Linked DNA regions of Rattus norvegicus. Each later gene encodes a partner of the first gene's protein in a complex. Links are inferred from orthologs where the notes say so. Each region holds a gene or a part of one and is shown in the gene's direction. Other genes may lie near its edges. The genes, in order: Bccip, Tent5a and Tent5c.

What was found.
Region 2: the proteins of Bccip (region 1) and Tent5a are in contact, whole or in part, in a crystal structure (PDB 8EXE), measured with the Homo sapiens proteins. The link is inferred for Rattus norvegicus from reciprocal best matches to the Homo sapiens genes BCCIP and TENT5A. Residues at the interface, in NP_510868.1 of Homo sapiens: Val57, Asn58, Ile59, Glu60, Phe61, Glu62, Ala63, Tyr64, Ser65, Leu66, Gln146, Val149, Leu150, Phe152, Cys153, Glu154, Lys155, Asn156, Cys157, Glu158, Lys159, Glu163, Lys167, Leu203, Ala204, Ala206, Thr225; in NP_060103.2 of Homo sapiens: Arg87, Gly88, Asp139, Glu151, Gln155, Lys158, Lys184, Glu185, Val188, Gln189, Lys190, Met191, Val192, Lys193, Val194, Cys195, Asn196, Asp199, Trp201, Asn213, Arg289, Lys295, Glu331, Arg334, Gln341, Asn342, His343.
Region 3: the proteins of Bccip (region 1) and Tent5c are in contact, whole or in part, in a cryo-EM structure (PDB 8EQB), measured with the Homo sapiens proteins. The link is inferred for Rattus norvegicus from reciprocal best matches to the Homo sapiens genes BCCIP and TENT5C. Residues at the interface, in NP_510868.1 of Homo sapiens: Val57, Asn58, Ile59, Glu60, Phe61, Glu62, Ala63, Tyr64, Ser65, Arg136, Gln146, Cys153, Lys155, Ala204, Gly205; in NP_060179.2 of Homo sapiens: Asp90, Asp92, Glu102, Gln106, Arg109, Lys135, Glu136, Val139, Gln140, Lys141, Leu142, Val143, Lys144, Val145, Cys146, Thr147, Asn164.

Annotation. Positions count from the first base shown.
Region 1 is NC_086019.1:197,946,489-197,953,957, forward strand, and holds part of Bccip (BRCA2 and CDKN1A-interacting protein), read left to right. Parts: intron 1-1,443; coding exon 1,444-1,518; intron 1,519-2,136; coding exon 2,137-2,217; intron 2,218-4,382; coding exon 4,383-4,472; intron 4,473-5,134; coding exon 5,135-5,322; intron 5,323-6,318; coding exon 6,319-6,493; intron 6,494-7,469. UniProt on the Homo sapiens protein: During interphase, required for microtubule organizing and anchoring activities. During mitosis, required for the organization and stabilization of the spindle pole.
Region 2 is NC_086026.1:95,104,171-95,112,403, reverse strand, and holds Tent5a (terminal nucleotidyltransferase 5A), read left to right. Parts: upstream 1-3,303; 5' UTR 3,304-3,589; coding exon 3,590-3,609; intron 3,610-3,797; coding exon 3,798-4,341; intron 4,342-5,368; coding exon 5,369-6,145; 3' UTR 6,146-6,992; downstream 6,993-8,233.
Region 3 is NC_086020.1:190,558,733-190,566,724, reverse strand, and holds the start of Tent5c (terminal nucleotidyltransferase 5C), read left to right. Parts: upstream 1-2,822; 5' UTR 2,823-3,055; intron 3,056-3,237; exon of another isoform or gene 3,238-5,378; intron 5,379-7,992. UniProt on the Homo sapiens protein: Catalyzes the transfer of one adenosine molecule from an ATP to an mRNA poly(A) tail bearing a 3'-OH terminal group and enhances mRNA stability and gene expression.

The DNA of each region.
Region 1 (7,469 bases):
GAGTCAGGTCTGTCACTCTGCCATGTGGATCATGAGAAAAGAACTCTGCTCCCCACCTCCCAATGTTACCTAAGTAACTGCAATGTCAGGCTTTAAAATGGGTGGACTTAAGGCCAGGATAATGCTACAAGGATGCAATGCTAACTCAGAAGTTGGGGGGAGTGTTGCAAGAACTCAATTTTGAGGTCATCCTGTTCTTCACAGAGAGGCTCTTTCTCAAAGAAAAAGGGGATAAAAGGGTAAACACTGCCAAGTTTGCCACTTGTACAGATTACAAAGGCCATTCATACCATTTCCCCATGTGATGCAAAAGCCTGAAGGACCAAAATGCAGTGACCTGATTTAAATGCAGACACAGTCTCATCTAGATAACGCTGTCAGGCAGCCTCAAAAGAGAAATAATTATTCACCTGTCTCCACAGAGCATGCATAGAGAACAAGATCACTTCAAGTCCCCAGAGTTGCCTAGAGTTAAATTTACCCATCTGTGTGAGGCCAGGCTTTATTCACTTAGCAAATATTTACTAAGTAATAGCAGGTACCAAGCACTTGAAAGGAAAAGCCATGCCTAGAGGGACCAGCCTGTAATCCCAGCACTCAGGAGGCTGAGGCAGGGGGATGGGGAGTTCAAGGTAAAGCTGGATTACAATGTGAGTTTAAGGCTAACCAAGCGGCATAGCATGACCAGATAGATAGATAGATAGATAGATAGATAGATAGATAGATAGATAGATAGATAAGCAGATGCGAAGGACTATGCTCTTGTGGAGCAGACACAGGAGACACAGAAAATAAATCTAAAATTTCAACTGTAATGTGTGTAGCCAGGAAATGGTGGCACCTTTAATCCCAGTACTCAGGAGGAAGAGGCAGGCAGATCTCTGAGAGTTTAAGACCAGTCTGGTTTACAGAGCTAGTTCCATAAGGACCAGGGCTACACCAAGAAACCCTGTCCTGAAAAACAAAACAAAATAAAAAAGCAACTGTATGTGCTATTAAAAGGGATGGGGAAGGCAGGAGATGGGACAGCAGGTAAAGGCACTTACTGCCACGCCTGACTACCTGAGGTCACCTCCCTGTACTGAGATGATGGAAAGAGAAACTGACTGCGGTAAATTGTCTCCTGACTTCATACAGGTACTGTGGCATATGAGCACATGTAAGATTCTCACTCTCTTCCCTTTTATGAAACATCTTGCAGTGTAGCCCAGGCTGCTCTCAAATTACTGATCTTCCTTCCTCTATCCCAAGTTGCTGGTTCACACCACATTAGAGTACATTTGATGTTTGTTTCAACCCCAACTCTGAGACATGCTCTGCAGATAACTAATAGAGGAACAGACCTAAAGGATGGAAACCTGGGCAAAAGAAAAATGTACAAAATGAAAATACTGCCTGTGTCGTCTGTAAGTCTGTGATGACCTGCTTCTCGTATTATTACAGGAAGTGAATATTGAATTTGAAGCTTATTCCATCTCAGATAATGATTATGGAGGAATTAAGAAGTTACTGCAACAGGTACCGTCTTTGCAGAACTTCCATGTATGTCTTCTGTCTCCTTTCCCAGGGTGAATGGCTGCTCGTGCTTTCCTCCCAGCTCCTGGTTACAATGCTGACCTTTGCTGCGTCCTGGAATGCTTTCCTTTCCGTGTGGACACTGCTTGAGATTCTCATCTCTTTCTCATAATTCACATCTGAGCTTGGTGGGGTAAAAAACAAAAATGTTGTAAGGGAGGAGGAGTTGGGCTTCCAGTTCAGAGGGGATGCTGTCCCCTGCGGTAGGGAAGGTGGGGAAGGCAGGCAGTGGGGCCCGAGGCCATCGTCACACGGCATCAGCAGCTCAGAGGCAGAGCATCACACATTCCTACCAGTGCCGTGAAGGCCGCCTTGCTGTACTTTGCCTTTACGTCAAATAATATGGCTGTGTTTGTCTTCTTTCTATACCTATTTGCTAATACCACTGGCTGTGTCTTTTCTGGAGTTTATGTGACTCTGGACGTTTGTTTTCCTCCTGGGTTTACTTTACAGCTACCTTGGTCAGGTCACTACATTTCATTGTTTCTGTTTGAATAATGGAATCACAGTGTTATTAGAAATTGGCTTTGATCTTAATTTAAAATATTTTTCTCCTTTCAGCTTTTCCTAAAAGCCCCTGTGAACACTGCAGAGCTGGCCAATCTCCTGATTCAGCAGAACCACATCGGGAGTGTGATTAAGGTCAGAGGGGAGATGGGCTCTGTGGGTGCTTTGTCCTCCTTATCTCCAGCTGAAAGGAAGTATTATTGAGGACTGCCCAGAGGTTACCGCAGGAATCCAGGCATCAGCCCTGGTAGAGAGAAGGTGTCTGACTTAGAAGGTATTTGGGAGGTGAAATAAGGCACAGTGTAGTGTACTGGGTCCCTTAGGGATGTGGGGGGTAGGTCAAGGTTGACTAACAAGTTTGCTAGAGCGCTGAGGTTGGCACACATAGAAGGTAGGTAGGTAGGGCTGATGAGTGAATTATGGGTGCGCACTCGGCGTCTGGAGTGCGGGATGCTGAGCAGCAGCTGGAGTCACTCAAATGTCAGTCACTGATATCAGACGTCATCGGAATTGTCATGGGAGAGCAAAGGACAGATACCCTGGTAATGCCAGCCATGCTTCTCTGAGCAAAAGAAATGGCAGAGAGCTGCTAGGAATGGCTGCAGCGGGAGGGGAAAGCGGTAAGAGTTCATAAAAACAAGGAGTGGGGTACTTAAGGAAGCACTTGTTCAGTAGGGTCACAGGAAACGAGGACCCAGCCCCAAGACTGCTCTGCCACCTGTCCCCTGGGATTCTTCTGGTTTCCTGTTGTTCTATTATAAAAAGTTCCACAGCTTAGAATTGCAGCAGGCATCTGCTTGGTTTGTGGACCTGCCATTTGGACAGAGGTCAGATTCCCTTCAGTTCCTGCTTTGTTCTGTGAGCCAAGGAAGCTTGGAGTGGGGCATTACTGCATGGCTCCTGGCACTGTCGCTGGGTCATCTGAAGGATAGGACAACTCAGAAAGAGATGGTGGAAGACCAGGGCTGGTTCTTGAGCCACCTTCTCATTCTCACCTAGTTTTGTTGAACCTAAGACATCCTTGCCAACTGGGCAGTGGTAGCCCATTCCTTTAATCCCAGCACTTAGGGACAGAGGCTGGTAGATCTCTGAGTTTGAAGCCAGCCTGGTCTATGGAGCTATTTCCAGGACAGCCAGGGCTACACTAAGATACTCTGTCTCAAAAAAAAAAAACAAAAAAACAAAAAAACAAAAAAAACAAAAAAAAAACAAACAAAAAAAACAAGCAAACAAAAACATTTTGCCAAGAGCTGTAGAGGAGCATTAACAGCCCATGGTGCTGAGGCAGCTGTAACAGGTTCGAGGGCGCACCAGACCATTATAGACCCCATTGTCCTAGGTTCGAGGGCGCACCGGACCATCGTAGACCCCATCGTCCTCTGGGGTGGAAGGATCAGTTTCATCTCATCTCATTCATTCAACATGGATTCCTTGAGTACTTTCTGTGTGTCAGGCTGAGGGCAGAGTGCCGTGAGAAGGGAGTTTATGGCCTGGACAAGCAAACAGGCACCATGTGAAGGAAGGGCTTTAGTAAACTGGCTAGGGGTTTAGTCTCCTAGTGGAGGAGCAGGCAGAACAGAGCTAGGGAGTTCAAGTTGGTTCACCATTGTCATTCCTTGCTGCTTGCTGTCTCCCTTTGCCCATGTGGTATATGTGTTTGCCATGTAAACCCAATTGTTTCTGTAATGGTCAGGAATTGCATTGTGTGAATGTGAATTTTAGGTGATAAAGTGTTAGAGGCTCCTGGAGATAGAAGAAATGGGCTGGCTCATGAATATCAACCTTACCCAGATTTAATAATATATTGAAATTCTGGTTTTAAAAAAATGTTTAGAATCTTCTTTTGAGACAGGGGAGCTCTGGCTGGCCTGGACTTCATAGAGATCCACCTGCTTAAGATTAAAAGCAAGGGTCAGGGTCACCATACCCAGATATACATGAGTCTTCTTTTTCCTTTTGGTTTTCAAGTCAGGGTTTCCCTGTGTAGTTCTGACCGTTGCTGTATGTGATTAACAGGCCTTGTCTCTAGGGAGCCCCAGGCCAGCCAGAACTACTCAGTGAAGCCCTGGCTCACAAAATGAAACTCAAAGCATCTTGTATGAAGCCGTGCAGCGCAGGATGATGTCATCCAGAATGTCTGGAGGCAGAGTGTTCTGAACGTTGACACACTGCACTCGGGACTCACTGCTCTGGTACCCGACCGCAGAAAAACAAGATTTGATTTTGAAAAGTGGAAAATTGGTGTTATACTTCTTTCCAGCCGAATAATGTAAAGTTGAAGTATTTTCCTCTTAAAACAGCAAACAGATGTTTCAGAAGACAGTGATGGTGAAGTGGATGAAGATGAGATCTTTGGCTTCATCAGCCTTTTAAATTTAAGTGAAAGAAAGGTTAGTTTCACTGCGTGGTATTCGGATCTGTGGTCAGGATGCAGTCTTTGTGTCAGAGATGATGCTGTCAGGGCAAGCGCTCCTTCCTGCTCTGTCCTTCTCAGTGTGGAGCGGTCTTGACCGGAGTGATTTGTACCAGCTTAAAGCTGATTACTCTGGTGGCATGATCAGTAACATCGTAGTGCCTAGTGTTGGGATGGTGGTTCTGACGCAGGTTCTGTTGCAAGATTCTGCAGCCAGTCTCTTAGCTCCCAGTACAGTGTGCATACAGAGGGTTTATTCAGCAGCTTCCAAAGTTGAGAGTGGGACCTTAACATGGGCTTACGTTTTCTCATCTCTTTATTGACTTAGTAATGAGTTCTAATAAAAAATTATGTCAGCTGCCTATTCTCTGAGAATAAGATGCGGGCCGCAGTCCACCTTCAGTTTTCAAAGGAACTTTCCAGTTAGTTCCCAACTGTTTTTGTGAGGTGGAATAGAAGTGCTGTTCCAGTGTGTGTTAATTAGAAACTCGACTTACCACCAATCATGGGATGGTGATTAGGTGTAGTGATGGCCGGAGAATTCTTCAGCAGTCATACCGAAGAAGCGCTAGGATGTAAAGGCAGCGGGAGGGAACCCAGCTCTTGGGGCAGAGAGCAAGCCTTCTCTTTCCTTTCCAGGGGACTCAATGTGCTGAACAAATTAAAGAGTTGGTTCTAAGCTCCTGTGAGAAGAGCTGTGAGCAGAGCATGGTTGAACAGCTGGACAAGCTTTTGAATGACACCAGCAAGCCTGTGGGCCTTCTGCTGAGTGAAAGATTCATTAACGTTCCTCCACAGATTGCTCTGCCTATGCACCAGCAGCTTCAGTAAGCAGTTCTGGGCAGTGCCTCAGACGCTCATTCCTTACTCAGGTAGCATCGGAGGTGGAGTCTGCAGCAGTGTAGGTTGGGCTGCAGCAAGCTCTGATGGGGACGGTGGGGTGGAGTAGTGCGCAGGGGCTGCTCATTTCCAGCATCCGGCCCCTTGAGAAGTTTTGATTACTGGTGGCAGGAATTTTAATATTTTCAAACATTCAGGTGGTAGAGAAACTGGTGAATTTTCAAGCTTTTCACATTTGACTGACAGTTTGCACATTCACACATGCCTGTAATTTGAACAAAATGTTGAACAAATACTAAAAAAACCAGAGTCAAATTCTTACATTCTGGTTTGATTAGTGAAACCAAATCCTTAATACTGCCCCTACTTCTTGGCCTCCCTATGTTGTTGAATACAGGAGTTTGAAGTTACAAAAACATTTAAACATAGAACTACAAAGTTTAGAGAATTGAGTGAGGGAAGGATTGTGTCACCTGTGCTTTGATGCACAGGGTTGAAGTGTAGACAGTCATGCTAGCTGTGTCCCTTGTGTAGACAGGCATGCTGGCTGTGTCCCTTGTGTAGACAGGCATGCTCGCTGTGTCCCTTCTCCCAGCTACGTCTGTGAAGTTGCTGCAGTGTCAGAACTGGGTAGTCACATGCTCTAGTGCTGTGCGCCGTGCCTGTGTGCCTCTTAATTTGCAGTTAAACATTGATTGTTTAAAAAGTGCAGGTTCTTATTTATTTTTAAATTTGCACAAAACAGTGAATCTGAGTGAGTCTGAGATTATTTCTTAGTGGGTAAGTGTCTTTCTGAACTCAGATTATTCACTGTTTACAGCAAAAGCCCGTCTCATCGCAGCCTAGGGTACAGCCAGTAGCGTGAGTTAGCCCAGAGGGTGCTGCATCAGTTTTCTGGGTCCAGATAGATGTAACCCAGTGGTGACCTGTGTGTGTGTGTCTGTGTCTGTGTCTGTGTCTGTGTCTGTCTGTCTGTCTTGTAGGAAAGAACTGGCTGAGGCACGAAGAACCAACAAGCCATGTGGCAAGTGCTGCTTCTACCTGCTGATTAGTAAGACATTTGTGGAGGCAGGAAAGTCTACTTCCAGAAAGAGGCGGGATGGCCTTCCACAGGAAGCACTGATGTTTGCAAATGCAGAGGAAGAGTTCTTCTATGAGGTAAGGATGCCCTGCTTCATCTCCATTAGCTCTAGTAGCTTTTCTTGAAAGTAAGACATCTTTAGGCTGGACCATGGTGCACATCTGTAATTGCAGCACTATGGGGAACAGAGGCAGGGGGATCTCTGAATTAGAAGCCAGCATGATCAACAGAGTAAGTTGCAGGACAGCCAGGGTTATACAGAGAAACAGTCTCAAGAAATTAAAAAAAACAAAACCAAAATCTTATCCTCTTGACTTAAGCCAAAGTCCTCTAGCCTACCCAGCTTTTTGTGGTCTCTGGCTGTTGGCTTACACACTATCTGGTACATCTTGCACACACAACAGCTTCCTATTACACTGTGTGTAGGTGGTGGGGTGAGGTGGGTACTGCCTGGGACTGGTTAGGCACTCAGAGCATGCTAACAGTGTGATGGTCAAGCCACATTTGCATGTTTCAGTTTTAAGTTTCGCCTGTGCACATGTGAGGGAGGTGATCATAGCTGCTCTGTGCCCTGAGGTCTGAGTGCTTCTCCCTCTAGCACTTGTTGTAGTGGTGGCTCATATCGTGATGGTGGGCAGCCAAGTCCTAGACAGTATTCTTACATTCTTTCTCTACTGCACTCTTCAAAAACCTCAGGGGTGACATTTTCTGAATTGGATGATACAGTTTTTAAGAATGTATATATTTGCCTGTCTGTGCGAGTGTGCACGCATGCTGTGATGTATGCTGTGACGTGCTTACGAGCACCATCTGCCCTGTAGAGGTGGGATCTCTGATTGCAGCTACTGTGCTGACAGGCCTCGTCAGCCCCAGGAGTGTGGGGGTTACAAATGCATCCCTGCATCCAGTTGTGTAGGTGGATTCTAGGGATAGATCGGCATGGTGGTCAGACGCGCAAAGCTAGGGTATTCACCCTTTGCGCTGTCTCTACTGACTGCAACAGTAGGGCAGCTCTGCCTTTGTTGCACAAGAAGTAAATAGCAAAAATAAGGT
Region 2 (8,233 bases), on another chromosome or scaffold:
CCCTTCCCCCCCCCCTCTCTCTCTCTCTGTGTCTGTGTCACACGCATGGGTGTATATTCCAGGTGCCCATGGAAACTCTTGGATCCTTTGGAACTGGAGTTACAAATGGTTGTGAGCTTCCTGACATGGGTATTGTTAACTCACCTGGGGTGTGAAGGTGTCCTGTGCAAGAGGTCCCTCTAGACGCTGAGCCATTTCTCCAGCTCCTTGTGGTGGCTCTAACCTTATCATATTGCCATTGTTCTTTGGTTTTGTTTTGTTTTCATTCTAAAGGGGAAAAACACTAAATTACCAAATAAGCCCAGAAGCTAAAGCCTTCTACCCTTTCTCCAAAAGTCAAGTCCATGTGAGTCTAATACCAGAATAACTATGCTGCAAAGTGTCTTGGCCGTGAATGGGCTGGGAAATACAGAATTTCTTCCCTCGTACTTCCCTTGGCCATCAACAGAAAGCAAGTTAGTGCTTACAATTGCAAACTTTGCAGTTTCGTGTAAGGATGGCTGCAACTTTCCAGAATATAAATATTACCTCGCTTTGACGACAGAAGGGGGACAATGAAGAACATGTGCTTCCATTCAGCACTGAGTAACCAGTAGCCTTTCTAGGCAGCAGGCATATATTAATCCAATAATTCAATTGCCTTCTGTGGCACTGCCAAGAGTGCGTTGCCCCAGATGTCGCAGTGTGGGAGGCAGGCAGGAGGGTCTAGTCAAGCCTGGAAAGTGTGGAATGCTCTGTTATTAAGGAAGTGTTACCCACAAAGGACTGCCAGCTAGAGGAAATGGGGTGTTCCCCGACCCGGTGACTGGATCTCTTCTTTCCCTCAGCACGTGGTATGGTGTGGTATGGCATGGTAGGCACTCCACGATCCACCCGTCTCATCCAAGTCTCCTGTTCTTGGGAGAGGCCTTGGGAGCAGCTGTGGAGAGAAGGGTGCTGGTTCCTGAGGGAGGGAACAGGACAAAACTACTGGTGAAGTGGAAAAGTGGAAGCTCTGGTTGTGCCCTCTTGTCAGGATCCCCTCCCTGGCAGCTTTCTAACAAAGTTGAGCCCGTCAGCCTCATAGGATACATGGCAGGTGTGAGCAAAGAACTCACGGCTCACACACTACTCTAGTTTCAGCTTTATTTTTCTCCGTTCTTTTTGATGGAAGCTTAAAATACCATGCAAAGTAATGAGAGTGGGGCTGAACTATTGCTTTTTTTTTTTTTAAAAAAATGCAATGTATTTAATCTATGACTAGCCTCTTTGACATTATTTTTAAGAAAACTCAAAATTATCAAGAAGAAAATATTTCCTGATACTTTATCAAGAAACTATTTTTATATTCTCTCTCTCTCTCTCTCTCTCTCTCTCTCTCTCTCTCTCTCTCTGTATCCAGAGTAGTAGTCTCCTCTCTTATTTGCCCTCCTCCCTGCCCCCACCGGCCTTGCTGCAGTTGCTTGCCTCAGTTTCCCCTGAGAAGGAAGAACTAAGCCAGGGATATCTCATTCGGCAATGAAGCCTAAATAGCATTCACAGTCAGATGGCTGTGCAAGACCTGATCCCGTACGTATGAAAGTTATGAATTTGGGAGGCGATCATTACCTTGTAACCCCTTTATTCCCAATCCCCCATGGCACTGACGCCTTCTTCTTGACCTGAAGACTGTGAGGTGTGTGGGAAGAGCTAAAGGTGGAAGGTGGTGGCTCACAAACGTAATCACATCACTTCAGAGGATGTTGATTTTGAGGCCAATTGGAGCTACCCAGTAAGACTGTGCCATACACGCTCGTGTGTGATTGCCACACACACCCACACACACACACCCACACCCACACACACACACACATTTCGTATATACGAAATGTGTTGCTAGGCACTGCTCATGGTTGGACATGTCCTGAAAGGAAGTAGCGGGATTTGAGAACAATGTAGGGGTCCAGGGATCCTTAATCGCTCAATTCAATTTGGCCTAGGCCGGGCCTATGCTAAGAAAGCCTGGCCTCTAGTAGAGTGTCTTCATTTTGTGGACTCACAGCTCCACAGGGCACCAGCAGGGGGCGGCGTTGTCACGCAGCTAGATCCGCGTGGGCGACACCCTTGCATCCCATCCCTCAACTCAGAGCCACACAGGTTGGGCTTGTAGGCCAGGGCTCCCTAAATTCAAAGGCTGGTTCTCTGAAGTTGTCTAGGGTCATGGGGGTAATGGCTGTTCATTCCAGGACCTCTCTCTAACCTGACTGCCTCGGCCCACAGCCTCTACCTGGAGCAAGGACTGCAAAGCATTACTTTGTACAGAGGCAGCGGGCGGCGGAGGAAGTGGACAAGGGAAAGCCGGAGCTTTCTAGCAAACATTGTGGTGCCAGAGCGCGCAGATAACCTTTTCCAATCCTTAAGCGCTACACTGGCGACTGAAGCTGGAGGGGAGAAACTTCGCGTCTTTTAGATTTGCCCTTTATGGCTGGTAAGGAGCCAGACCCTACCTAGATCATTGAGGTTTTATTCACTCGAGAACTGAGAATCTTAGAGACTGCTAGGAATGCACTTCGTCCCTCGGGTCTGAGCCGAAGGACCGCCACCCTTGGGTCCGCTTTCCTGCACTGCTGGGTTGCGCTCCGAGACCCCGCCGGTTGGCCGCGAGCTCCTGTAGCTGTGTGATAGGTAACGCGCGCCTGCCCGGCTCGCGCGCAGCAGCTGGACGCGCACTCAGGCTGGTTGGCTGGCATCCGACTTCCCCAGCACTTCTGGAGGTTTCGAGAATCGAAACTCAGTTCTCAGTAAACCCTCCCCCTCCCGCACGGAGACTGACGTGCGTGATCAGTTGCCTCTGGAGACTACACTTGGCCCAGGGTCCTTAGTGGAATCGGCGGTCTAGCCACAAACGGACACTGTTGGGGGAACCTCCAGGAGACCCAGAGTTACTCGGCAAATGACGCGCTACACCCGGCCAGAAGGCTAGGCTTGGGAAGTTTCTATAGTTGCATGATTTTTTAACCCTGATCCAGTTTTGATGGACATCTATCACATTTGAGGCAAAGTGTCTCCTCTTCAGGGGTGTGTGTGCGCGTGTGCGTGTGTGCGGACGTGCAGAAATGGACAGATCTACACGTAGGAGCCACAGGCATCTGTCTGTGCACATTAGCCAGGGGCTGCGCACCTTGGCCTGGCTCCAGCAGCCCTGAGCTCGGGCGACTGTCCACCCAGCCCTGGGGGGCGGTGCTCTATGCAAATGAGAGGGTGTGGCGAGCACTGCGCGCAAGGGCCCCGGAAGCGCGGAGAAGCCCGGTATAAAAAAAGTACTGAAGACATTTCCCCCCGCACAACTGCTAAAGCTCCAGAGACGCGAGTGTGCGCGGTGGCATCGGCGGCGTCGAGAGCCGCCACCTCCGAGACCACCGCAGCGGGGGCGCGGGCGGGGCGCGGGCAAGGGGCGGGAACGCTCAGGGCGCGGCGGGGGTCGGCGCAGAGAAGTCTCGGGCCGCTGCCCCGAGCGCACTCGCAGTTCCTGCGAAGTGTGTCCGCCTCGCGGTTCCTCGCTCGCCTGCGCTCCTAGAAGGGGCGGCCGCCTCCAGGTGACACAGACGGGACTCTCGCTTGTGCTTTCCAGATGCATCAGAGATACTTTTGGTGCGGGGCTGCTCTGCGGGGCGCGGCGCGCGGCTGGGCACTGGGGTCGGTGGGGGGAGGAGGGCTCCTATGGGCAGCTCCTGGGACGTCATGATCGGGGAGGGGGAGCCCAGGCCCCTGGGCGGGACCCCGGTCCCCGCACCCGCACACCTTCCTGCCGCTCCCCTAAACCCACTCTTTCCTCTTAGGACTGACCAAGGCCAAGTGGCGTTCGGCGGGCACTACATGGCTGAGAGCGAAGGGTACTTTGCCATGGCAGAGGACGAGCTGACCGGCGGCCCCTACATCCCTCTGGGTGGTGACTTCGGCGGCGGTGGCAGCTTCGGCGACCGCTGCTCGGACTATTGCGAAAGCCCCACGGCGCACTGCAACGTGCTGAACTGGGAGCAAGTGCAGCGGTTGGACGGCATTTTGAGCGAGACCATCCCGATCCACGGTCGCGGCAACTTCCCCACGCTCGAGCTGCAGCCGAGCCTGATTGTGAAGGTGGTGCGGAGGCGCCTGGAGGAGAAGAGCATAGGTGTCCGCGACGTGCGCCTCAACGGCTCGGCCGCCAGTCACGTCCTGCACCAAGACAGCGGCCTGGGCTACAAGGATCTGGACCTCATCTTCTGCGCCGACCTGCGTGGGGAAGAAGAGTTTCAGACTGTGAAGGACGTCGTGCTGGATTGCCTGTTAGACTTCTTGCCCGAAGGGGTGAACAAGGAGAAGATCACGCCGCTCACTCTCAAGGTAAAGCCACCTGATGGGCTTGGGCACAGTGGCGGGCCGGGGGCGGGGAGAAAGCAAGCCGGATTTGCCCTCACTGCGGACCGTTTGGCCGTAGGGAGTACATTTATTTATTTTTTTATTCTTTTTTTCACGAGTGTACTAATGTGCGTGAGTGCTATGGAGTGTTTTAGTTTCCTGGGAGCTCCAGCACCACAACTCTGCTTCCTCCTCTGCGTTTCCTTCTCTTCCTTCTCTCTATGGTTTAACTCTTGACTTTCCTTCCTGGACTCGTGTCCAGAGTATAATGTGATTGGTGGAAGGATGGAATGATGTAAATAATTTTTTTGAGTCATCTTGTGATCTAGACTTTGGGAAAAATAGCAGCCCGAAGCAGAACTGAGTCAATGGTTTTTTATTGTATTGGAAAATATGAATAGATTCCTACTCTGGATTCAACTGACTCCAGCGTTTAAGATATTTGGTGCTTTTCCCTGTGAATTCACGAGTTGAGGGCATAGTAGTGTGCCCCTCCCCTTCGGTTTAGGTGGCATTTTGTATAATTAATTAAAGTTGTCTGAAGGCAATTTAGTTCCTCTTTGGCTGTGAGTGTAGTGTGTTACTGGAGAGACTGATAAGATTGATTGCCTAAGGGGGAGGAGAACTGCGTGGTTGGAGGCAAGGGTGTGAGAGGCGGACTCCACGACAGTGTCTGCCTTTCTGTGGATAGCGAGTGAATATTGTGCCTATTAGACCATCTTCAAAAAATAACATTTGAAGTCAGACATGACAACAGAACGTCTTAGTATGCTGCCGCGTCTGCCAAAAGCCTCAAACTATTACTTCTAGTCTCTTTCCCAGACGGCAAAACTACTCGTTAAATGTATTTTTTCCCCCTGTTTTCCGAAGTCTGTTTAAGCTTGTAGGTAGTGTTTTGCTGAAACTTAACAAAACAAACAGGAAGGGGCAAAATAATTCTCAGCAAAGAAGCATTTATTGTTCCTTTTCCAGCTTTGCTCATTTTTTTCTTGTTTTATCTTTTACATCCTAGGAAGCGTATGTGCAGAAAATGGTTAAAGTGTGCAATGATTCTGACCGGTGGAGCCTTATATCCCTGTCAAACAACAGCGGCAAAAATGTGGAGCTGAAGTTTGTGGATTCCCTCCGGAGGCAGTTTGAATTCAGTGTAGATTCTTTTCAAATCAAATTAGACTCTCTTCTCCTCTTTTACGAGTGTTCAGAGAACCCAATGACCGAGACATTTCACCCCACCATAATCGGCGAGAGTGTCTACGGTGATTTCCACGAAGCCTTCGATCACCTTTGCAACAAGATCATTGCCACCAGAAACCCCGAGGAAATAAGAGGAGGAGGCCTGCTTAAGTACTGCAACCTCTTAGTGCGGGGCTTCAGGCCTGCCTCTGAGGAGATCAAGACCCTTCAGAGGTACATGTGTTCCAGGTTCTTTATTGACTTCTCAGACATCGGAGAGCAGCAGAGAAAGCTGGAATCCTACTTGCAGAACCACTTCGTGGGCTTGGAAGACCGCAAGTATGACTATCTCATGACCCTCCACGGAGTGGTAAACGAGAGTACGGTGTGCCTGATGGGACATGAGAGAAGGCAGACTTTAAACCTTATCACCATGCTGGCAATCCGGGTGCTAGCTGACCAAAATGTCATTCCTAATGTGGCTAATGTCACTTGCTATTACCAGCCGGCCCCCTATGTCGCAGATGCTAACTTTAGCAATTACTACATCGCACAGGTTCAGCCAGTATTCACATGCCAGCAGCAGACGTATTCTACTTGGTTACCCTGCAATTAAGAATCATTTAAAAATGTCCCATGGGGAAGCCATTTCAAAGATAGTAAAATGAAAAAAAAAAGGAAGAAAAATTATGAAACAACACCAAAAAAGGGGAGTGACCCGGCCCTAATTAGGGATGTGTTTTGTGCACTGAGGACTTGCTCCCGATTTTAAAGTTGGCAATGCTTGGGGATCTTTCCATACATAAGGGAGCATGATCTCAACTCGTCACCCTCTCCACCTATGGTCTCTATCCAATCGGATTGTATCTTGAAACAAAAAGAGGCCTGTTAGGGAAAGCAGCCAGATTCTCCCAAAATAACAAGAGAATTAAAAAAAAAAACCGGCTTGATTTTGACAATATGGGTTTGCAGCAACTACTCCCATAGCTCTGCCATAGGGAAGGGGAATGGTGGGGAAACTTTTAAGATGGCGTTCACAATGGGAAAATGCTGAGGAAGAAAGCCTTGCCTATCACTTGAGGAGGTCAGAAAGTGACCAGGGAAAGCAGGGCTACTGGTAGGGATTACCATCTGTCTAGCAGCAAGTGCTCCCTTTGGAGTGATCCTGTTTTCCTCACAGAAACAGCTCAGTCCAAATGAACGGTAGGCAGGTTGATGCTGTCCTCATAACAAACAGCAGAACTTAAGGATGACACAACCCCTTGATTCCAGCTCCGTGCAAAGCTTGCGTTCTTTTTTTCTTTTCCTTTTCTTAAATGTGAAGACCCAAGCAAAAACCAGCTGTAGCCAAGAAAACATGCGCAAGGACCAAAGATTTAACTGATAAAAGTTCCCAAGCAGAAGAGGTAGGATAGGATATATAAAGAGTTACTATATTTGTTACACACCAGTACACATCAAAGTGCCTGTTGCTTTCAGAAGATTAGAAGTGGAAAAGGTTATTTTATGGTTTAATAATTATTTTATTTTATCAGGGACTCAAGAAAAAAAATAAAGCAACATATTAAGCTTGTGAATGGTGGCAGAAATGGCCTAATTTTTTTTTGACAAATACCTATATAAAGTTGATATTGTTTGGTGTGATGTTATAGGTACGTATATACTGTTTGTGTGTATACACACACACATATGTGATATGTATGTATATATACACACACACTACTTTGTCTATGACCTAAAATAATGTATCAAAGAGGAAAAATTTTAAAGATAGTGATTTTTATGTTTTTGGGTAGGATCTTAGAAGACATGGGCATACTGCAATGATGGCGTAAAACCCATATAAAAATGAGACAAATGGAGGGATGTGAGTAATATATTTGATAGGAAAAGCAGAGATTATACATTTTTAGCGAGTTTTTTTTCCTTATTTTCACTGAACCAGAGAACTTCACAAATGGGAGACTTCTTGGTAGCACACTTCTCAATTGCCTTGCCCTGGCATTTTGACAGTCTGAGTCCCTGCCCCTTAAATAAATAGAATCACATGCCTTCAAGGCTTAGAACGTATGGATCATGGATCAGAGATAGGATAATTAAATCCATAACTGCTCAAAAAAGAATTTCTGGAACCTAAACACTACTTTTAATATTTAAATGAATGCAAATGAGCGCATTCTGCATTTTGGACCACTAGAATTTAATAAATGTGAAATGACCCTTTTTAAAGAGTATTTGCACAACTACATAAAGTTTATATATAGGATATATATTATATATATATACATTTTATAAATTTATCCAATATGAAATATGTTTGATCTGGTTGTCACACTGCATAGAAATATTTAGTACTGTACCTTAAATTAAATCACTTTGTATTTGACCAAACCCAACTTTCGTTTTCTCTCCCAAGAGACCATTTGTATACCTTTGTGACATGAACTGATACTCTCATGTTCAGTGACAGCTCAACTTAACTCCTTTCCCAGCCCTGTAGACACTGGTCTCTGAAAAAAATACATTTCACAAGCAAAGCAAATGCATTAAAAACCTTCCTTTCTTGTTGTGAAACAATCACACAGGGTCTGGTCCCCTTGAACTTTCATGAATGACTGCTAAGTATGGTAATTCCTCTGCAGAGCCAGTCAGTTACAGAGAAGCTAGGGAGAACTTAACACTCTCACGTTGGCAATGATGCTAT
Region 3 (7,992 bases), on another chromosome or scaffold:
GTAATAATTTGTTTAAATGTTATTGAGATTGGAGCTTTGCAGAAGGTCAGTTACTTCCTCAAGGCTTAAAACCCAGTTCTTAGAAGAGAGCATAGGCAACCATCTTTGTGGCTTTGGGCTAGGCAGAGATTCCTTAAACACTAAACATTAGAGATATGCTTGGTAAGTTGGGCTGATTGGAAATTAAGAAACTCTTTTTACTGATAATAACAGTAAACTATAAACCAGCTACAGGTTGAGAGAAGGTATTTGGAAGAGATATAAGAAAGGAGTTATATCCAGACTATGTGAAGAACTGAATACAGTTCAAATGGGCAAAAGACACACATAGATACATCCCCCCCATAGACCATCATAATGGATCATAAACATTTGAGAAGTTGCTCAGTAGTACTGGTCACCAGAGAAATGAACGTCTAATTATAATGAAATACACATCCCGGTTTTTCATTTACAAAGAAAACACTTGGGCCACGGAGATGGCTCAGAGGGTAAAGCTGCTTATGACCAAGCCTGAGGATGACCTAAACTCAGTCCCCAGCTCACACACGGTGGAGAGCTGGAACTCCCAACAAGTTGTTCAATGACTTCCACACGCCCACTGCGGCACGCACACCCCCCTCCAACAACAGTAAAATGTAACTAGAAAAACTTTAAACAGCATGATCCCAAAGTGGTAAATATGTGGGGTCATCGGGAATCTTTACAGCACTGGTTGGAACATTAAACAGATTTCCCATTCTGCTTTACAAATATATCTATTTGTTGTTTGTTTTATGGTTTACACTTGTTGTCCCCCCCCTTTAGTTATCTTTAATAACTCAGATAACTGGAAATACATTTAAAGTTTAACGTGTGGATACCCTGTGAACTAGAATTTCCAGTCTCCAGCATGTGCCTGACACAACTCAATGCTGTACAGAAGACACAGGGAAGAATGTGGACAGCAATTTCACTATGGACCGTTCAAAACCTGAAGCAAGTGAAACGCATATCAAACAGTCAGCAGACTGCATACATTATTGGTTATTTAATGAGTATGTAGTAGTGAAGAATGAAACATGGTTACATACAACACGGAGAAATCTCATTGACGGAAACATGCTCATGCTTTCTTTCCCCATGTGCAGTTCAGATGCAGGTACAATTGATATATGAAGACTGAGATCTTAATATTGGTAACCCTGTAATATGTTGAGTGACAGGAGCCATGGCCAAGCTGGAAATGTTCTGAGTGACAGCTCTGTGGGTACACACACCTATCATTTTGCACACAATAATAGACACTATGAGATCAGACAGGGCTCACATTAACAACAACAAACCTGGCCCTATAGCCTGAATTTGTGTTCAAGAACATGTAAGTTCTTATACTGATGTCTTATACTGTTATAGTTTTGAGAATTTCCTTCCCCTACCAGAGAAAGCACGTTCGTGAGAACTCTTCATAGTCTAGCAGACACTGCAGGGCACTCCTGCTCCACAGAGGTGCTAAGAGGGCAGAGGAGAGCACCGATTCAGGAAACCATCTAGCCCCCAGTACCCAGCAGAGGGTCAAACGAAGCTCAACAAGTGTTTATTAACACAGCTTTCTAATTTATTTAGTAGCTGGCATGAACTGCATACCAAGCAGTGCATGATTAATAACTATTTCCCTAATATCGACCTCACATTTCCATACTACAGATGGGAAATAGAGGTTTTTGGAGAATAGGTTAAGCCAGTTAGTAAAGCTGGGCGTGTCCCAGCAGTTGGGAGGTGCACACAGGAGGGCCAGTTAAAAGTCAACCAAGGCAACTTGGAAGCCTGTCTTGGGTTCAGGAGGCATTGTATAAAAAAAAAAACCTCAAAAAAACAAAGCAAACTATCCTCTTGCAAGGCCTTTCCAGATAGTTAAGAGGTGAAGAAGATTTCCACTCATCAGCCTTAATTCTAAAGCAGAGCCATCAACCACGTGCAAGGAAATTAAGGGTCGTGTGTGTTTGGGGGCGGGGATGGGGGCCCCCCTCTGCGAGCAGTAACAAGCAGCACAGACCAGCGCTATTCTCAGGAGGGCTGAGCTGCTGTGCTTAAGGCTTTGGTGATGGCTTCCCAGGTCTGCCAACTGCACACAGGTGTCCCCGCGGCCAGAGAATCAGCTGCTTCCTTTCCCCCAGGACCACGACCTCACCTCCAGCCAATTTGCTCGAGGAATCAGAAAGATTTCCAGGGCCCATTTAAGAGTTTTCCGACTTCACAAACACCGAGCGAGGCAAGCGTGGGCTTCCACTCCGGGATCCCGGAAACCAGAGAGCACTATGGTGAAGAGCGCCTAAAACTTTGAAAGAAGAGCACCCAGCAGGGAGCAAGTTGGGTAGAGGGGAGAAGAGTCCAGGCGAGGGAAGGCTGAAGGTAGAGAGGAGCGGAGAGGACAGAGGGAAACTGTCCCCTCATGCTCAAAGTTAGTTCAGCGCCCACAACCCGTGTCTCTCTCTCTCTCTCTCTCTCTCTCTCTCTCTCTCTCTCTCTCTCTCTCTCTCTCTCTCTCTCTCTCTCTCTCTCTCTCTCCTCTCTCTCTCTCTCTCTCTCTCTCTCTCTCCTCTCTCTCTCTCTCTCTCTCTCTCTCTCTCTCTCTCTCTCTCTCTCTCTCTCTCTCTCTCTCTCTCTCTCTCTCTCTCTCTCTCTATTGCGCCTGCGCAATGCTGCCTCTTGGTCACCCCGCCCCTTTGCGCCGCGGGAGGTTTACTTGTCTCTCGGCAACCATTGACCCGGGAAGCCAATCAGAGGGCAGCGTTCGTCCAGCCCCCCCCCCCCCCCCCCGTCAGCGCGGGGCGCAAGGATCCCTCGGGGCCTCGGCCGTCGCGCCCCGCCCTGGCTCCCCCGGGAGGCCGGCCGCGGGGCGGGGGCAGGGGCGGGGAGGCGCGGGGGAGTGGTCAGGCCGGTTAAGATCGGAGGGGGCGGCGGCCGGACCGCTCACTCGCCGCAGCTGTCTGGGGGCCTAAGTCTCCGCACGGCTCCTGCTGGGGGCTGCCCACGCCAACCACCTGCTTCAGTCACCTCTTCTTCCAACGCCCAGGTAAGTCCACGCTCCCATCCTCCACAGGTGGGAGGATGCTGCTGCGGTCCTCCGGTGGGGAGCCACGCACTCTGGCTCCGGGTGGGTCCCCGCAGAGCCTAGTGGGGTGCCCCGAAGATGGAGGCTAGATGCCGACAGGTGTCAGGACCCGTCCGGCTCCCGCGTCCCTGACGCAGGCTTACCTCTGTGAAGGAGCGCAAACTTTTCGGAGACTGCGCTCGGGCTTTGGGAAACTTGGGCGAGTTCCTGCTGGCCCGGCGGCAGTTGTGTAGGTGGCTCTTTCTCTGCTTCTGCTAGTCGGTACTCTAGCTCTGAGCTGCGCCCCTGTGGCGCGCTCACGGAGCCCGGAACCCCGGCGATTTTGAACCCCGCGGTTTTGGCGGCGTAGATGAAGACGCTGTGGTCGGGGGCTAAAGCCTGGCCGGAGAGGGGAGGGCAGTTCCCTGGGCTCAGTGCCCAGGATGGCGGCTGAGATCCTTCTCTATTTGGAACTGTGGGTACCGCGCGTGGCCAAATGATCGAAGCTGCGCGTCTCTCGGAAACTTCTCGAGAATACGGCGGCTGTGAGACCTGGTTCCTCCCCTTTGGGGATCGAAAGTCGCTTACTGCGTAGGCTGAAAGCCATGCAGTCAGTCAGTTGACTCTGATAGCGGTGCTGTTGGTGGCTTAGAGGCGCGGCTCCCGGATCGTCCCGAGCGTCTGCGAGGAGGGTGATAGCCCTTTTCCATAGAAAGAGTTAAGGAACCTGCAGTGCCAGCTGGTAGCCTTTACACCTAGCACTGGCGGACGGGCAGGCAGGCAGGCTACCTCAAAGTCCTGATGAGGAAATGCCTGGTTTTTCAAGAACGCAAAACTTCCACCGGCGTTGATTGTCATACCTAGATGCTCTGGGTCCCTTTCTCCCCTCTTCCCTTTAATGTGGAGAAACCCTTCAGAAAGTCCTGATCAATTCCTAAGTCTTAAGCCCCTCCCCTCTCAATTCGAGGATTAAAGTGCTTACAACGAAAGACTTAGTAGACTTACTGATTTATTAAGAATAGCTATATATATAATCCTTTGAATTATGACGAGTTTGGTATTCTGAAAGTAAAGTTAAAATGTTCAGATCTTCCTAAATTAGACCCCCAGCTGCCCCAGCTACCCTGGGAAGGAGGGTGACGGTGGCCATTGCTGGCTACAACAACTTCCACTGTAATTTGCTTGGCAAGGCAGCGAGGGAGCCAGAAAGCTAGCCAGGCAGCCAAGAGGGTGGTAGGAGAGCTTACCAAGAATTCTCCCGAGCGAGCGAGCTGGAAGTCACTAGAGGTGTGATTGTTTTTCCACATTTTACCCCGCAGTTGAAGGGTGTGGGGTGAAGAGTAAAGAAGGGCCACTTTTCTCTTCCTGCTGCAGCTGGACCAGCAGTGGCCCTGTCCTCTGCAGTCCTTGTTTGTGAGGATGGAGCGCTTAGTATCCCAATCAGAAACCTTCTCTCTGAAGAGATAGTTTGGTTTAGGAGTTCACACGATAGGAACTTTTAGAAGGATGAGTTCGATGTGTGGAATACTTGTCCCAGTATCTGCACAGGATGTCGATGACTGTCATTAAAATTGTGGGGGTTGTTCAGCGATCTCTAGACAGTTACCAAAAGAAAGGTCCCGAAGTTTTATGAGTGACTTTAGTGTGTGCACCTAGAACAAACAGTCACACTCTTTAGTCTGAGTTTCTCCCATAATACCTACCTTGTATCTAGAGATTAGGTTTGTGAACTCAGAAGGGAGGACTTGGCTCTTGGCCCTTGGCCCTGTTGGTCTGAGTGTGAGTGGAGTGCCAAGAGCTCACTCTTCAGCTTTTCCAGTTCTGCTGCACGCATAGCTCCCAAGCTTTCTGCAGAACTTTCAGCCTGGACGTCTCCCCCAGCCCCAGTGGGCTCCCAGTCAGGCACACGCTTAGCCTGCATGCTAAGTCCAAGGCCAGGCAGATTACACTTGCCTTGCACTGCCCATTGGAAAGTCCGGGAACCTCTCAACAATGAAGGCAATTTAAAAGTGGGCTGTTGTGCCCTGTTGTACTATTAGCTAGGCTCAGCTGTGACAAAATGGGAACGCCGCATTGAATGTTTCCTTCCTTCCTTTCCTCCCTCTCTGCCTCCTGCCCAGCTCCATCCACTAAGTAGTACCCTGCCTTCTCTCTTCTATGCTGTACTGTCTCAGAGTCAGCCATGGAAGAAGGGCAGCCTATGTTACTAAGAAAAACCATAGAAGCAGAGATGTGTTGAATTAAGATGATGTTTAGGGGTTTATCTTCCCTGTCCTCCTGAAAGCGAGCTCTCCCTCTCCCTCCCTCCCCCTCCCCCCTCTCAGTTAATAGGTGGTGAGGCAGAATGAGGTGTTTCTTGGACTAAGACTGGTCTGTTCCTTTTTCTCATCAATGAGGTAACGGGCAATATGGGGAGATGCCCTCTACCATCCCGCTGTTTTGACTGTAGCTGTTGAAATTGTATTATGACACCAGCCCCTCCATATTTAAAGGTGTGCTCGATGAGTTTAAAGCTACTTGAGGCAAGAGTAAAGCTGACCTCCTAATTTCTTGAACCCAAGGTTTCTCCCTCTTTGAAACCTTTTGATTGGATGCATTCATCGAAAGGAAGCTTAGAGTTCAAAAGGTTTATAGAAAACATCTTCACATAACTCTGTAAGGGAATCTTCTGGACTTTTTCACATTAATATTCTGTACAGCTGGCCCCTGGTAGCTTGTTCTTGAAGTGTTTGCAGAGCTTTTTGAAACAACAGGGACGAAGCTCTTAACAAGAAGAAGTAATTGCTGACACGAAGCAGCAGTTGTCCAGTGGTTGCAGAACATTTCCCACTGTGGGTCCTTAAATTGGGTGGTCCTTTTTTCTTGGATGATGGTGGTTGAGTCAGAAAGTGCTTCCTAGGTGGTGTTTGGTGCCAGGTGCCAGAGAGGCCAAAGGAATGGTATTCGAAAGGCCTGTGGAAGAACTTTAGAGGTGAGAGAGCTGGCCTGGCTTTATGATATACTTGAAGAACTTGTTTTTCTCTCAGTTGTCCTTGCACATGGACCCCAGAAAAGTGGGGTTTGTGGTCACTTCAGAGTCCTCACCCCTGCCTAAAAAGTGCATGCATGGCACATCTATCATGTGAATACACATTCTGCTGGGGGCTGCCTGCTGTTCCTTGCAGAGAAGGAAGCATGGTTGAAGTAGCTATCCTGCTGGACCAGGGGACCAGATGGGGCTTTTTGTGTTAGTAGCGCCAGATTTAAAAGGCTGGATGGTTTCCTGATCATCTTTTCAGTGAAGCCTCTGCAGCATAGGCTTGGAGCTAAGGAACAAGGTGCCTGCAAATTGATCGACAGCTGAAACTCCTAAAGCGGCCAGCTTCTAGCCCTACCGGAGCACCTCTACCCACCCCAGCCCCTGCTCTCCCAGCCCCTGCTCTCCCAGCCCCTGCTCTCCCAGCCCCTGCTCTCCCAGCCCCTGCCCTCTCAGCCCCTGCTCTCCCAGCCTCTGCCCTCCCAGCCTCTGCCCTCCCAGCCCCTGCCCTCCCAGCCCCTGCTCTCCCAGCCCCTGCCCTCCCAGCCCCTGCTCTCACAGCCTCTGATCTCCCAGCCCCTGCTCGCTCACTCAGCCTTTCTCTCTCCCGTGTTCACTCAGCTGCTAGCTCTGCTGACTCTTCTGTTTTGACTTTTTTGTTTCTCGACGTCCTCGCTGACCTGGTTTAGAGGGGACTGTGGACAGGAGCTAGATGAGAGCATCAGCAAGCCTCCCCATCTCTGGCCAATGCTCAGTCCTTTGTGCCTGGAGCACTAGAGTAAGCCCCCAGGAACTGCCCATCTCTGAGGACTCTCTGCCTTCTTCTAAGATTGTGATTTCCTGATGCTTTCCTTGATGCCCCATGGCCAGGTCTTCCTTAACTGTCCTTCTTTGCCGTGCAAAATACAGACTTAGATATTTGGAGAAAAAAACTGAACATAGTCCCTTCCCCTCTGACCTCTGTGCAGGCTCTGACTGACCTCTCATCTGAGAGGACTACCTTACCCCGCATCTGTCTGCTCCAGTATGTTATATGGGCTTTTTGTTTTGCACATTTTCTTGTTTTTATTTTAATTTAAAAATTTTAATATTGAACTGAAGGGGTTTGTTGTTGTCATTGTTTCGCCATCTCCCATTGTCTCCCCATCTGGCCCCTATCACGAAAACTGAAGAAAAATTCCCAGGGATCATGAGCCATCCCCTCCTCCCACCCAGTATTCCTTAGCTTCTACCCTTGGCCTTACAGGATGAGGCCAGGTACCTTCTATGTGACCTGGCTGTGTGTCTCTGACCCTCCGTGTGCTATGGTGACCCCTGCCCCTCTTTGTCATAGTTAGAGATCCGCGTCAGGATTCCACAGCTGCCTGAGGCTCTGGTGCTAGCTGTGTGTGGACTATGGGGATGTAGAGAAAAGAGGACGGTTAAGACACACGGATGTTTGCTCTGGGTTGTTCATCTAGAAGCCGCCACTGCTGTTGCTGCTGCTGTGTCCCATTCCAGACTGTTGTAGACTTTGTGCTTGCTTCCTTGCCTCTTGTAGGCGGACCCTTCTCTGGGGGACACCTGGGCACTGATCCTGGCAGACCCCTTGGCTACTTCATTTCTTTACTGTCATCTATGTAGCAGACAGAATCACTGCTCTCTCAGAGACATGAGACCATTTAAACAATAAATCAACTTGTCTGTTAAACTATGTTAGTAATCAGTGCAAAAAGATGTAAAACAGATTACATCCATTAGCTCAAGCCTTGGGGGTTATGCTGTCTTTTGTATATACTATGCACTTCTGTTTGGACCTTCTACCTTTCTAAGCTTGTGGCTACTGTACTAGGTGGTTCGAGTCTGGCCAAGACGCGCATGTGTTTTACTCTCAAATCCTGGTTCTCTCTGTGTGGGAAGCAAT